2 linked regions of the Arabidopsis thaliana genome follow. The protein of the gene in region 2 interacts with the protein of the main gene of each other region in a pairwise test. Each region holds a gene or a part of one and is shown on either strand. Other genes may lie near its edges. The genes, in order: ATN1 and AT5G17410.

What was found.
Region 1: the proteins of AT5G17410 (region 2) and ATN1 interact in a two-hybrid assay, tested with the Arabidopsis thaliana proteins (one large-scale study listed by BioGRID).

The regions. Positions count from the first base shown.
Region 1 is NC_003074.8:10,209,852-10,214,665, reverse strand, and holds ATN1 (Protein kinase superfamily protein), read left to right. Parts: upstream 1-1,572; 5' UTR 1,573-2,158; coding exon 2,159-2,289; intron 2,290-2,611; coding exon 2,612-2,744; intron 2,745-2,835; coding exon 2,836-3,031; intron 3,032-3,104; coding exon 3,105-3,229; intron 3,230-3,312; coding exon 3,313-3,471; intron 3,472-3,742; coding exon 3,743-4,069; 3' UTR 4,070-4,249; downstream 4,250-4,814. Other genes in the region: AT3G27570 (Sucrase/ferredoxin-like family protein), read left to right, coding at 75-390; AT3G27550 (RNA-binding CRS1 / YhbY (CRM) domain protein), read left to right, coding at 4,467-4,555, 4,688-4,814.
Region 2 is NC_003076.8:5,728,851-5,736,721, forward strand, and holds AT5G17410 (Spc97 / Spc98 family of spindle pole body (SBP) component), read left to right. Parts: upstream 1-1,759; 5' UTR 1,760-1,800; coding exon 1,801-1,884; intron 1,885-1,999; coding exon 2,000-2,058; intron 2,059-2,173; coding exon 2,174-2,222; intron 2,223-2,525; coding exon 2,526-2,660; intron 2,661-3,093; coding exon 3,094-3,225; intron 3,226-3,763; coding exon 3,764-3,847; intron 3,848-3,924; coding exon 3,925-4,023; intron 4,024-4,122; coding exon 4,123-4,214; intron 4,215-4,496; coding exon 4,497-4,569; intron 4,570-4,643; coding exon 4,644-4,796; intron 4,797-4,884; coding exon 4,885-5,004; intron 5,005-5,090; coding exon 5,091-5,144; intron 5,145-5,288; coding exon 5,289-5,372; intron 5,373-5,488; coding exon 5,489-5,563; intron 5,564-5,649; coding exon 5,650-5,760; intron 5,761-5,993; coding exon 5,994-6,119; intron 6,120-6,230; coding exon 6,231-6,338; exon of another isoform or gene 6,339-6,749; intron 6,750-6,803; coding exon 6,804-6,866; intron 6,867-6,942; coding exon 6,943-7,017; and 6 more. Other genes in the region: ER-ANT1 (endoplasmic reticulum-adenine nucleotide transporter 1), read right to left, coding at 165-449, 532-903, 991-1,254. UniProt on the Arabidopsis thaliana protein: Gamma-tubulin complex is necessary for microtubule nucleation at the microtubule organizing centers (MTOCs). Required for the positioning of the gamma-tubulin-containing complex on pre-existing microtubules and for the proper organization of cortical arrays.

The sequences.
Region 1 (4,814 bases), on a different chromosome or scaffold from region 2:
TGATTGCTTATCTTCATTTAACGCTGTGTTTTCAATTGACCAACATTGTTTAACGAAAATAATTTCTATTTCAGAGGCCAGATGAGACTAAGACCCGAGGGTGAGGAAGCTGAGAAAGAGGATGAGCATAAAATCCCAAACGGAAACAGTGTAATGGTGGAAGAACGCGAACCTGTGGAGCAGAAAGGGTTCACAGGAGGTTGTTGCCAAGGTGCAAACGGAGTTTCATGTTGCCAAGAACAAGCTGCAGAGCCAGTCAAGAAAGAAGGATGCATGAAGCTAAACTGGTTGAAATCGATGGGGAAAGAAGAGGTTCTCTTGGGAGCAGCAGTAGTTTCAGCTGTCGCAACCGTTGCCGTGGCTTACAGCATTTACAGAAGGTCAGGTTAAGAACCTGAACCACCCTCCTCTTTTTACACTTTTAAGAAGAAACTTTATTTTTGGTAGCCATATTATAGAAGTAAAGGAAGAAAAGAAAACATGGAGAGGTAATAATCTTTTGGAACTATATAACCATCATTTGGTTTCGGTATGGGCAATGCAGGAATGGGATGTAATCTTGCTTTTGACTCGGTTTAGTTTGGTTTATCTTATTATGTTGTCATTGGAATATATCAATCTTCTCTAGTTTTGAGTATACGTATATGAAATTAGCAGGTGAGGGAGCTACTTATTTTAGTTATACTGGCCCACGCGTTGAGGCAATACAAAAGTCACAGTTAGGAGTTAAGCAAAAAAATGTCATTTAATTTCCCGAGTGGTCGTTTAAAACATGAACTAACTTTTGAGACATGAGAATTCGTTGATTAAGTCAAAATAAACATGTCTTTATCAGTCGTTAATGGAACCTCTAACGTCCATTATCACCTCTAACGATTTTATTAATCAGCTTTCAAATTGTAGACATTTTAAATATCAACTTTGTATGTGACCATTTAAAACATAAATTAAATATTAACTAATATTTGAAAACATGAGAAATTTGTTGACCATACCAAAATAAACATATCATCATAATACTTTAAAGAAACTTATAACATCCGTTAACGAAAGTAGAAACTGGAAATATATAATAAAACCATATATTATTTGGGTCAAACGACACAATTTGGTTTAGTTTCAAGCTTGATTTTGATTATGGGACAATGTTACCATTCAACAAAATTATAAGCAAAGGACCAAAAAAAAGATCAATGAGTAATTCATAATCGACAAAATAATTTTATTGATTAATATAAAAAGAGTATAAAAATGGGTTTGAAAACATGAAAAATAGATATCTGCGAAGGTACACACACAAGGACAGTCGTAAGCTAGGTAAATGGATCCCACCTACCTCATTCTTTTTCACCGACGAGATTTTTCTATTCACATTTCAGTTTTTGGTCTTATTTTAGTTGTTGCTTCACTATTCATATGTTCATTATATCAATGGCTTCTAGTCTTCTTCTAGAAATCGATCTTAATTCTTAAACCACCCACTTAGTTCAATATGTACTATTATTTCTCAATAATACAAAATAGATTACAAATAGTTTTGAATTATGATTGTATTTTTAAGAAGAAGAAAGACACTAAAAAAAAGGATGAAAAAGACCCGTAAGTGTTTTTTCTTAAGAGATAGAGGAGATTTCTGGTCACCTCACCCCTCACTGACGCCTACGCGGAAAAAGCAAACAACTTTCGATTTCTTTACTCCTTTTTTTCCTTCTCTCTCAAAACCCCTAAAATAAGAAACTTCAAAAAAAATAATCATTAACCAAACCAACACGAATCATCAAAATTTTGACCATTTCTCCATCAGTTCCAGTGTCAACTTCAGTTCTTCTTCCCATTCTTCTCTCAAATTCCCATCTTTGCCGTTCAATGTTTTTGTTTTCTTTATGTAGTTGACGAAATTAGGATTTTGATTGTCGTGTTTCTTTCTTTATTCTGTGTTCGGGGAATCCTTTGATAATTTTCTCTCTTTATATTCCACCAAAAAAAAAAGCATCTTTTTTGTTTCTTTATCTATCTGATTGTTGTATAGTTTCTCAATTCCAAAACCAAACAGAATGATTAATCAATCAAAAAGGGCCCAGCTTTGACATATCTCTCTCTTTCTCTCTTTAGCCAACTAGGGTTTTTGTGATTTTTGTTCTGGGGTTGTTGTGGGAAAATGGGATCTGCAAGTGGGTTTTACTCGAACGAAGAGTTTGAATTGGATCCTAAATGGCTTGTTGATCCTCGTCATCTCTTTGTTGGTCCTAAGATCGGTGAAGGTGCTCATGCCAAAGTTTATGAGGGAAAGTAAGCTTTGACTTACAATCTTTATCATCCATATATACTAAGAATCAAAAGTTAAAAGTTGTCTCTTTTTATCTATAATCATTGCTTGCTACAGAAATTTCAAATCTTTGTTTAAGTTTGAAAAAAAAGAACTTAGTCTTGAAAAAAGTTTGACTCTTTGCGTATATGAAGCACAAGAGAATCTTTTATTGTCTGGTTCAGTTACTTATTAGGCTAATTGGTTTAATCTTTCTTTCTAGTATTTATTGAAGCTTATCTGTTTCTGGAGATGCTTGAAGATTGTTGTTTGATGGATTGAAAATGTGTTTTTTGTTTTGTTTAGGTATAGAAACCAAACAGTGGCGATTAAGATTATTAAAAGAGGAGAGTCCCCTGAAGAGATTGCTAAACGAGATAACCGGTTTGCGAGAGAGATTGCTATGTTGTCTAAAGTCCAGCACAAGAATTTAGTCAAGGTTTTTCAATTTTTTCTATCCACCAACTCTGTTCATTTGGCTAATCAGAGAGTATTGGGTTGTAATCAACAACGTTTGGTAATTTGTATAGTTCATTGGAGCGTGCAAAGAACCCATGATGGTTATAGTTACTGAGCTTCTACTAGGCGGTACATTGCGTAAATATCTAGTCAGCTTACGGCCAAAGCGTTTAGACATTCGTTTGGCTGTTGGTTTTGCTCTTGACATTGCTCGTGCAATGGAATGTTTACATTCCCACGGTATCATTCACCGCGATCTTAAACCAGGTAAATGGAAAGAAATCTAAATCCGTGACTTCTAAGTATGTATGGAAAGCTTATGATCTTATTGCATCTGCAGAGAATTTGATCTTATCAGCGGATCATAAGACAGTGAAACTCGCTGATTTCGGTTTAGCTAGAGAAGAATCATTAACCGAGATGATGACCGCAGAGACTGGTACATACCGATGGATGGCCCCCGAGGTAACTATATTACTACTAACCCGGGATTTTTCTTTTCTTTTCGCGGTTGTCTTATCGGACATCTTGGTTAATGAATGATACAGCTCTACAGTACGGTTACGTTAAGGCAAGGAGAGAAGAAACACTATAATCATAAAGTAGATGCTTACAGCTTTGCCATTGTCTTGTGGGAACTTATTCTCAACAAGTTACCATTTGAAGGCATGTCAAATCTACAAGCAGCATATGCTGCTGCATTCAAGGTAATAATTCATCTCTCAATCGGTTCTGAAGCAAAACTGAATTACAAACTAAGACCGAATAGACGAACTCATCATCGACACGAAAAACCAAACCGAAACTTAGATTGAACTCCCTTGTATCTCTGCTGTGGCCTCTCTGCATTTGATCTTTACTTATTTGGAAGATCCTTGGATTCGTGTATCAAAATTTGTCATTTCTTGGTTACCAAATTGATGAATTCAAAGTAATGAAACCGGCATTGTGACTAATTTGTGTTTGTTTTTATGATAGAACTTGAGGCCAAGTGCAGAGGATTTACCAGGAGACTTAGAGATGATTGTAACTTCATGCTGGAAAGAAGATCCTAACGAACGGCCAAATTTCACAGAGATAATTCAAATGCTCCTCCGTTACCTCACCACTGTTTCGGCACCACAGATCATTCCTCCACCGAATCGACGAGTCTTCTCATCAGAAAACATAGTTTTATCACCGGAATCTCCCGGAACTTGCTCTCTGATGTCTGTCAGAGACGGAGACGTTTCTCGTCAGACCGTTAACACTGCTGATTCATCGGAGAAACAAACAAAAGGAAGCTTCTTCTCCTGCTGCTCATAGATGATGTATTTCGTTGTGTAATCTGTAAAGAAAACGAGAGGAAAGTGTTTATGATGGAAAAAAGTATAATGTATTAAGATTAGAAATTTAGATCACAGTCACAAGAAATTGTTCGTGTATAAAAAATATTGAGCCTGAAACATTAATAATGTTTACGTTTTTGCATAAATGTCGAAAAAGAGTTAAATTAAAAACTACGCCGTTGCCGGGGATCGAACCCGGGTCACCCGCGTGACAGGCGGGAATACTTACCACTATACTACAACGACTTTGATGTTCAATCTCTAGAGGTTAAGCATATATATTACAATTTTATTGGATTGTCTTCTAAAACCCTGAAACCCTTGAGAAGATCTCTCTTGTTCGAAAGATTTGCCACTTCGTTTGCAGAAGCGAAATGTTTGTCTCTAGGAGTCTCTCGAGACACTGCTGGAGGACTTGTAAATGGTCTTTATTTTCTCTCCTCCAATCCGATTCCTGTGTTAGGTAACTTCAGATTCTAACTCCATTTCTGATTCTGATTTCTCTCTGATTATTGAGATTTATCCAATACCCATCTCCCAGATTCGTTTAATTCCTCAAAGCTTAAAACTTTATTATCCGATTTTGATCTTGAAGGAATCTGGTTTCGTCATCGAATCCGGTTACGAGCATTGGTAACTCAAGTGAAGGTAATTCGAATTCGTTTCAGCCGTTGATGAATCAAGTGTTTAAAGGATGGTCTCGAGGTATGTCAACATCGAGA
Region 2 (7,871 bases):
TATGAACAATTTTCCCTATCTTCTGCTGGTTCAATCGGTTAATGATTCCGAGATTCTGTTAATTAACACAATACATTGGAAAGCAAGTGAGACTTCTTGGTGTTTACTAACCTTCTCTTTTTGAGCTCAGCTTTCATTGTCATCGTTTCGGGTTTGGTCCAAAACTACTGAACCCAATGCTTATAAGCAATCTGGTGAAGCTGATCATATCCCGCAAGCACTCCTGCTCCTGCTACTCCAAGAAGCATGTTCGCAGTAACTCCTCTATATAGCGCATAGAACCCTTCCGACTTCAATATCTCTCTTAAGGCATGAATGGTGTTCCGGTATTTAACAGGTTGTCCTGATGTAAGCATCATTCTCCTCCTAAGTGTGTCAAAAGGGTAAGCAATGACGCCTGCAGAGGTAGTAATACTCCAACCCAATAGAAAACTAGCCAAGAAGTTTCCCTGTCACGGAATCAAAGAACCATTTTTAGCTATTTTCTGCTATAGATTAAGAAATAATAACGGCATACATAGATGACATTACCTCTAAGGAACCGACTAACACAATGGGTTTGATGGTGTCGTACATCCCAAAATACATTCCTCGGTAAAGAGTGATTCCCACTATTGACACACCAAATCCACGGTAAAGACCTTTAATACCGTCACTTGACAAAGTTTTACGATACACATCGATCATCCCTTTAAACTGTCTCTTGCCATTAACAGAACATTCCTTTGCATCAGTGCCTAAACGGGTCCGCGCATAATCCAAATGGTACAGAAACAAGGAAGTTGTTGCTCCAGCAGCACTTCCCGAAGCTACATTTCCAGCAAACCACTTCAAGTAACCATCTTTCTCTTTCGAACATCCAAGAAGGTTCTTGAAGTAACCTTTAAATGCAAAGTTGGAAGCCTAAAAGCAATTAAATTTAGTGACAATAAGAATCTAACACAAACCTCAGCACGCTGATCTAAAGTAAGGGTTCTTGGAATGTAGTACCTGTGTAGGGAAATATCGTATGACATTGGCTTGGTTTCCTCTCCAAAAGGACAAAACACCTTCTTCTCTATAGATTCTGGTAAAGCAATTACCCAAACCAGTGTAAGGTCTTATGAGATGTCCAGTCTTTATCATCTCCCCTTGATTCTGCAGTAAAAGCTTCACCCTTTCGATTGGAGCAGCTGCAGATTTGGCAACAATGGCTGCAGCACCACCCATCACAAAATCAGCAGAGAATCTCTCGGATTTTCCGATCAAAGCCATCCTCTTTTCCCTCACCTAATTCTATACCAATAAATATAGAGATGTTATGGGCAAGAGTTTCTTCTGGGTTCTAGAAATATCAAATCCTAAAGCTAAAAAGGAACAAAATTTGATAATAAAAGGAAAGGTTTTGAAGTGAAAAACCTGGAGATTGCTAATTGATTCTCCGCCGCAGAGAGAAGAACTCGGCGGCGAAAGATTGATTTCCAGGTCGAGGAGGAGAAGAAGAGGAGGCGATTTCGTTATTTCGTTTTGAGAAGCCAATAAAATAGAAAAGAGATAATCATTTTCTGTGAATTTCAAAGCTGGAGGTGGAGGACAGGGCAGGAGCAATGGCTGGTTTTTTCTTTCTTTACTTAAAAAAATGGTTTTGTCCTTTTTTAATTTCGAATTTGAAACCAGGATCTGGAAATTTCTGGTTCAATTAAAACCGGACATTTTAAGGAAAACCGGAGATGGTTCGGTATATGGTGACTGTCTGACTGATCTGTGTCTTCTTTTTCATAAAGGTTTAAACTTTTAGTTCCAGAGACTGGGAGCGAAGCAATGGAATCAATGACGCCAATCTCGTGCCCTACGACTCCTCGTTGGAACCAAGACAGACCATTTCTCACTGGTCGCTTCCATCAGGTGCTCGATCTTCAGATGTGCTTGATTTTAGTTCTCTAATTCGTTCAAATTCTATTTAATTGTGAACATTGGTAACTTCTGAGAAAAAGTAGTTTTGACAATGGGTTTATCTCAGGAAACGAGGGCAAGCTCCAAGTTTGCTGATTCTAAGAGGTTTACTTTAGACTCGTCTAGGTATTTTGAAATTTTATACTAAAAATTAGTAATACATCTCTGTTTTAACCTCCCAAAGTCTGTTCCTTTTTCATCTTATTCTAAAGAGTCATTGACCTTTATATTTTGCTTTCAGCAGTTCTGGAGTAGAGCAGGCAATTGGCTGCTATGACACACCGGTTCAGGTTTGTGTTATTTTACAAAGCAAGTCTGTCCCTTTTTTTCTTGGCTTCCACTTATTCTGTGAGATTGTTATTATGTAACCTTGAAACTAGTGTTGGGGTCCTTAAAGCTTGGGTTTGAGTTGTGTAGTTTTTACAAGTTGGCATCATTGTAGGTGAAGTTGGTTTCTCGTTTTCGTGGCATAGACTAGGATAATTGACCTGAGCTAAACAATTGTGGAACTTCCTAGCCTAGGTTTAGAATTGGTGTCACCTCTTTTGTTATGTCCATTTCAGTAACTGTTTTTTATTCCTTTTGGCATGCAGGAGCTTATCGTCATTGATGATCTCTTATCTGCGTTGGTTGGAATTGAAGGGAGATATATTTCAATTAAAAGATTCCATGGGAAGGAGGATAGTATAGCTTTCCAAGTTGATCCATCAATGGATTTGGCACTACAGGTAAGTAGTACTCAACACAATAACTTTTGGTTCCTATCCCAAACATTTTTATCATGATGGTCTACAGTAGTCAACTGCAAAAAATCTGTGATTTCTAACCATGCTTGATCTGTTCTTTCTTAGAGCTACCGGAATTAGTGCATATGTATCATGTATGTACAAAGTCTTTCACATATTGAGACTGTTACAGTGATGTTTGCAAAGTGTATATTTATGTTTATGAAACTTGATGCATTTCATTGGTGTTCTGACTTCTTGAAAGTTCAATTATCTCCGAAGTCCAATAAAATGGACACATGCATTACTATGTTATGTCTAGGATGGTTCTCTCTTTTGAATAGGATTTTTAGAGATGTTATAACGGATTAACATTGTAATTCTTTATTTAATTGGCTCTTCTCATATATATTGACCGTTGCAAATAATTTTGCAGGAATTGGCGAAAAGAATATTTCCTTTATGTGAATATTATCTGCTGATTGACCAATTTGTGGAGTCAAGCTCGCAGTTCAAGAACGGGCTAGTTAACCATGCATTCGCGGCTGCACTCAGGGCACTCCTCCTTGTATGTGATATAGGTTGCTAGCTTTGTGGAAATTGTGATCCATTGTTTGTTGAGTTATTTTTCGTTCCCTTTCTGTTACAGATGGGGGATTTTGCGAACTGGATATGGATTTTTTTAACTAATAGTCAAGTTTGGGGATTTACTCAGTAAACTAAAAATATGAACTTGGAAAGCTCATTTTAGAATGCTCTTAGTTTGTTTATTGGGTTTCTTTCTTGTCCACTGAATTGGTGTTTTTTTATCACATTTCTGAGTGTGTGTATATGCATATGTATGAATATCTAAGATGACACATATAGCTCTTACTGTCTTCTTTGTTCCAAGTTCTTACTGTCTCTCTAATCCCTCTCTTACTATTGCCGCATTGAATAAACTGATAGTCTGATTCTTTTCTTTCCATTTCACATCTTGAGTTTCGTGTCTAACACATGTCATGCATTTTTTGGACTGAGGATATCATTTTATGTTAGCTTTGAGGTAATTTGACAACATTCTTTGCTATTGTTACACTAGTATTAACCATCCTCTCTTTTACCAGGATTATCAAGCCATGGTGGCACAATTGGAACATCAATTTCGACTTGGAAGACTTTCTATCCAAGGATTATGGTTTTACTGTCAGGTCTGTCTTTCTTCAAATAATCCAAGCTACAAGTTACGTAAACATTATGCTGATCGATTGTTTTTCGTATCTCTCAGCCCATGATGGGATCCATGCGCGCATTGGCTGCAGTAATTCAGCAGGCTTCAACGAAGCAGTTTGTGGGTTCTGGTGTTCTTAATCTCTTGCAAAGTCAGGTAGATTCCTGCTTTGGTCATTAAAAGTTTTTGGATTTTTTTGGTACTAGAATTAGCTTTTTTATTAAATGTCCTAATCTTGAAGACTATCATGCCTAGGCTAAAGCGATGGCTGGTGATAATTCAGTGAGGTCATTGTTAGAGAAAATGACGGAGTGTGCAAGCAACGCATACCTAAGCATATTGGAAAGGTTGATTACCATGCCTCTTTCTTTCTTGCTCGTAACTAGACTCCCATAAAAAAAACATTGTGCTACAATCTCTGCCCTTTCCCTTTTGTTATTGCTTGGAATGCTCAGATAAATCTAAGTCCAACCTGTGACTATGTTTTTCCTTTGTTTGGATGGAGTGATTAGCGAACATGTTTGTTATCTTTTGGTTTGGCAGATCTGTACATGGTTACCCTATTTGCTAGATCGCTTATATTATTATTCTTTGATGTGTCAACTAACTTTAAATAGTGTTTAATTAAGGTGGGTCTATGAAGGGATCATTGATGATCCGTATGGGGAATTTTTCATTGCCGAGAACAGGTCTCTCAAAAAGGTACTTCGATTGCTCAGCTCGTCTGCACTATTGTTAATTGCTTGATCTAACAATGTCAATTTTTTTTTGTACAGGAGAGCCTCAGTCAGGACTCTACAGCTAAATATTGGAGCCAAAGATACAGCCTTAAGGATACTATTCCTGGCTTCCTAGCAAACATTGCTGCAACAATATTGACCACAGGGAAATATCTAAACGTTATGAGAGAATGTGGGCACAATGTTCAGGTATGATTGTGAATGAATTTCCTGTTTATTAATACAATTAACAGTGTTTGTGACACTGGACCCGACATTGGCTGATTTTTTTTAACAGGTTCCCATATCAGAGAGATCTAAGTTAACAATATTTGGGTCAAATCATCATTATCTTGAATGCATAAAGGCTGCTCACGAATTTGCCAGTATAGAGCTTGTGAATCTCATCAAGGATAAGGTAATACTTATTTTGTTTTATGATGACTGCTTCTTTGATGTCGTTCCTCGTCAATACACCTCTCTGACCATCAGTATATGATTCAGTATGACCTTGTTGGAAGGCTTCGATCTATAAAGCACTATCTTCTTCTCGACCAGGTATGCTGGTTCTGTTCATGAATAACCAGTTATCTTCAGAGTTCTTCAGAATTTCCTAGGCACAAATTTATCAATGTGAAAAGTCTGTTGTTGAGTTGTTTTCTTCAGTCATTGATTTTGGTATAACAATGTAATGAACTACAGGGTGATTTCTTGGTTCATTTTATGGACATTGCTCGAGAGGAGCTCAACAAAAAAGTGCATGAAATATCTGTTGAAAAGTTGCAGGTACTTTTTTCCCCTTTAGAGCATGATTCAAAATATTAGACAAAGCTTCTTACCATTATTAAATCGTTATGGCCTCTACTTGTTTGCTGGAATCTAAATGGATGTGTATTATTTAGTCTTTGCTAGATCTTGCTCTACGTACCACAGCGGCTGCAGCAGATCCTCGTCACGAAGACTTGACTTGTTGTGTGGTGAGCAGTTAATTTGTCTTTTCCTGGATGTGATGAATTTACAGAGTTTGTACATTATATGTTCTCACTTTGTATTCATATCTTAGGATCGAGCTTCATTGCTTACGACTTTGGGAATGCACAAGGACACTGATAGCAATAGTATTGAGGACCCAATGAGCATCACTGGTCTAGAGACATTTTCCTTGAGCTACAAGGTCTGCTCCTTTCTTGCCTTGTCTGCAACTACCTGTTTGTATCTGGATTCGAACTATTTTGTTCGTCGAGATATATATAAGTAATAACACAGCTTAATGGCTATTAATGGTTGTTATATATAACTACTAATGCATTTCTAGAGTCATCATTCATACTTATATAAGTAATCGACAAATGCATATTCGATTGGCTACTCAATTGTTTGATTGTTGGTTGTGGCTTTGTGTTTCAGGTTCAATGGCCACTATCTATTGTCATATCAAAGAAAGCATTGTCAAAGTACCAGTTAATTTTCCGCTTTCTTTTTCATTGCAAACATGTGGAACGCCAGCTTTGTGGTGCTTGGCAGATACATCAAGTAAGGACTGATATAATATTGTGTAGCTTGTAATTTGTTTCAGTTTTGGTTTCTTCTAAAACCATTTTAATCATTTTGCTTCGCTAACAAACTGCTGTGAAAATTCTACAGGGGATTCGGTCTATGAACTCTAAGGGTACAGCAATTCTTAGATCATCGCTTCTCTGCCGTAGCATGCTTAAATTCATCAGTAGCCTTCTACATTATCTTACATTCGAGGCAAGTCTGAATGTTCTTTTTGTTTTGTTTTGTTTGTTTTTTAAAACATTTTTTTTTGCTAATAGAATGGAATCTGAATATTTTTTTGTTTTTTAAAGATTCTGATTGTCTATTCATAGATCCTGTTTTCCATTGTGATTTTGCGGTGTAAGTCTCTGGAAAACTAACTTCTAGAATTGCTGACATACACTCTGTATATTGAATCCAGATATCTCTGTAGTCGTAAAAACCATACTTACAAATGTAGGCACTTCTTGCAACTGTGTTTTTCGAGAAATACATTCTTGAAAACGTGATTCTGGAGAAATAAGTACACTATCAATGAACAGAGGAGAGAAATCACACCAGAAGTATATAAAGACATAATTCTTTATGAGATGATTTGGTGTTTATTTTAGCAACTATTGCCTCTCTAAGTTTTTCTAATGTTGTTTTTGCTTGTCTTTATGTGGGATGTCTCTTCAGGTTCTCGAACCAAATTGGCATGTAATGCACGATAGACTACAATCCACAAGGAGTGTAGATGAGGTAAGTGTAGAGACCTGCTTTGTTTTGGTTTGCAGGGAAAACATTCTTCATTGAACAATGTGCCATCATCTTGCAGGTGATACAACATCACGACTTTTTTCTTGATAAATGTCTGAGAGGATGCTTGCTTCTTTTACCTGACGTCCTTAAGGTTTGTCGCTGTTCCACTAAATGTTATGTTTTCTCAGGACAGATGTAACAGTGTGATGTGCTTCTCTTTCGTGCAACAAGAGCAAAAATTCTGAACGCACTAATAATAGTGTAATGTTTATCAATATTTTACACTCATATTTACTGATGGTGCAGAAAATGGAGAAGTTGAAATCAGTGTGTCTGCAATATGCTGCAGCCACACAGTGGTTGATATCATCGTCTATCGACATCAATAGCCAGTCTCATCCACAGAAGACAATGATAAGAGACACAACCGTTACAGAGTCCATATTGTAAGTAGTAACAAGGAATTGTTTTTCAAACTAATGGCTACACTATCTCTACAAAAGCCGTTGCTGTTAGAATTTTTGAACTTCATTATCACGGTATTGTTCTAATATGTCTGTTACGTGTTCTACCAGCAATTTCGAAAGGGAGTTCAACTCGGAGTTGCAGAGCTTAGGACCAGTCTTGAGCAAAGGCTCCCAGGCTGAGCCATACTTGACTCATCTCTCCCAGTGGATCCTTGGTGTTTCGAAAGAATAAGAGGTGAGACTTTAACTAAACAAACTCAGGCAATTCAATTTGTTTTTTAATGTTATCAAATGATATTCAGCTTGAGAAGTTGTTATGAGATGTGTGCGTGTGTTTAGGCTTTTGTTGTCGTTTCTTTATTTTGTTTGTGAACTCCACGATATAAGAACAAGTCTCAGGCTCTCTGTTAAAAATTTGCATTCAAGATTTGTGGGTTTTCACTGCAACTACATGTCTCTTGAGGGAAGTATCTGTGAATCTTTTACTGTGTAACTAAAAAGTAGTTTTGTTCAAATTTTCTTACAATGCATTACTCGC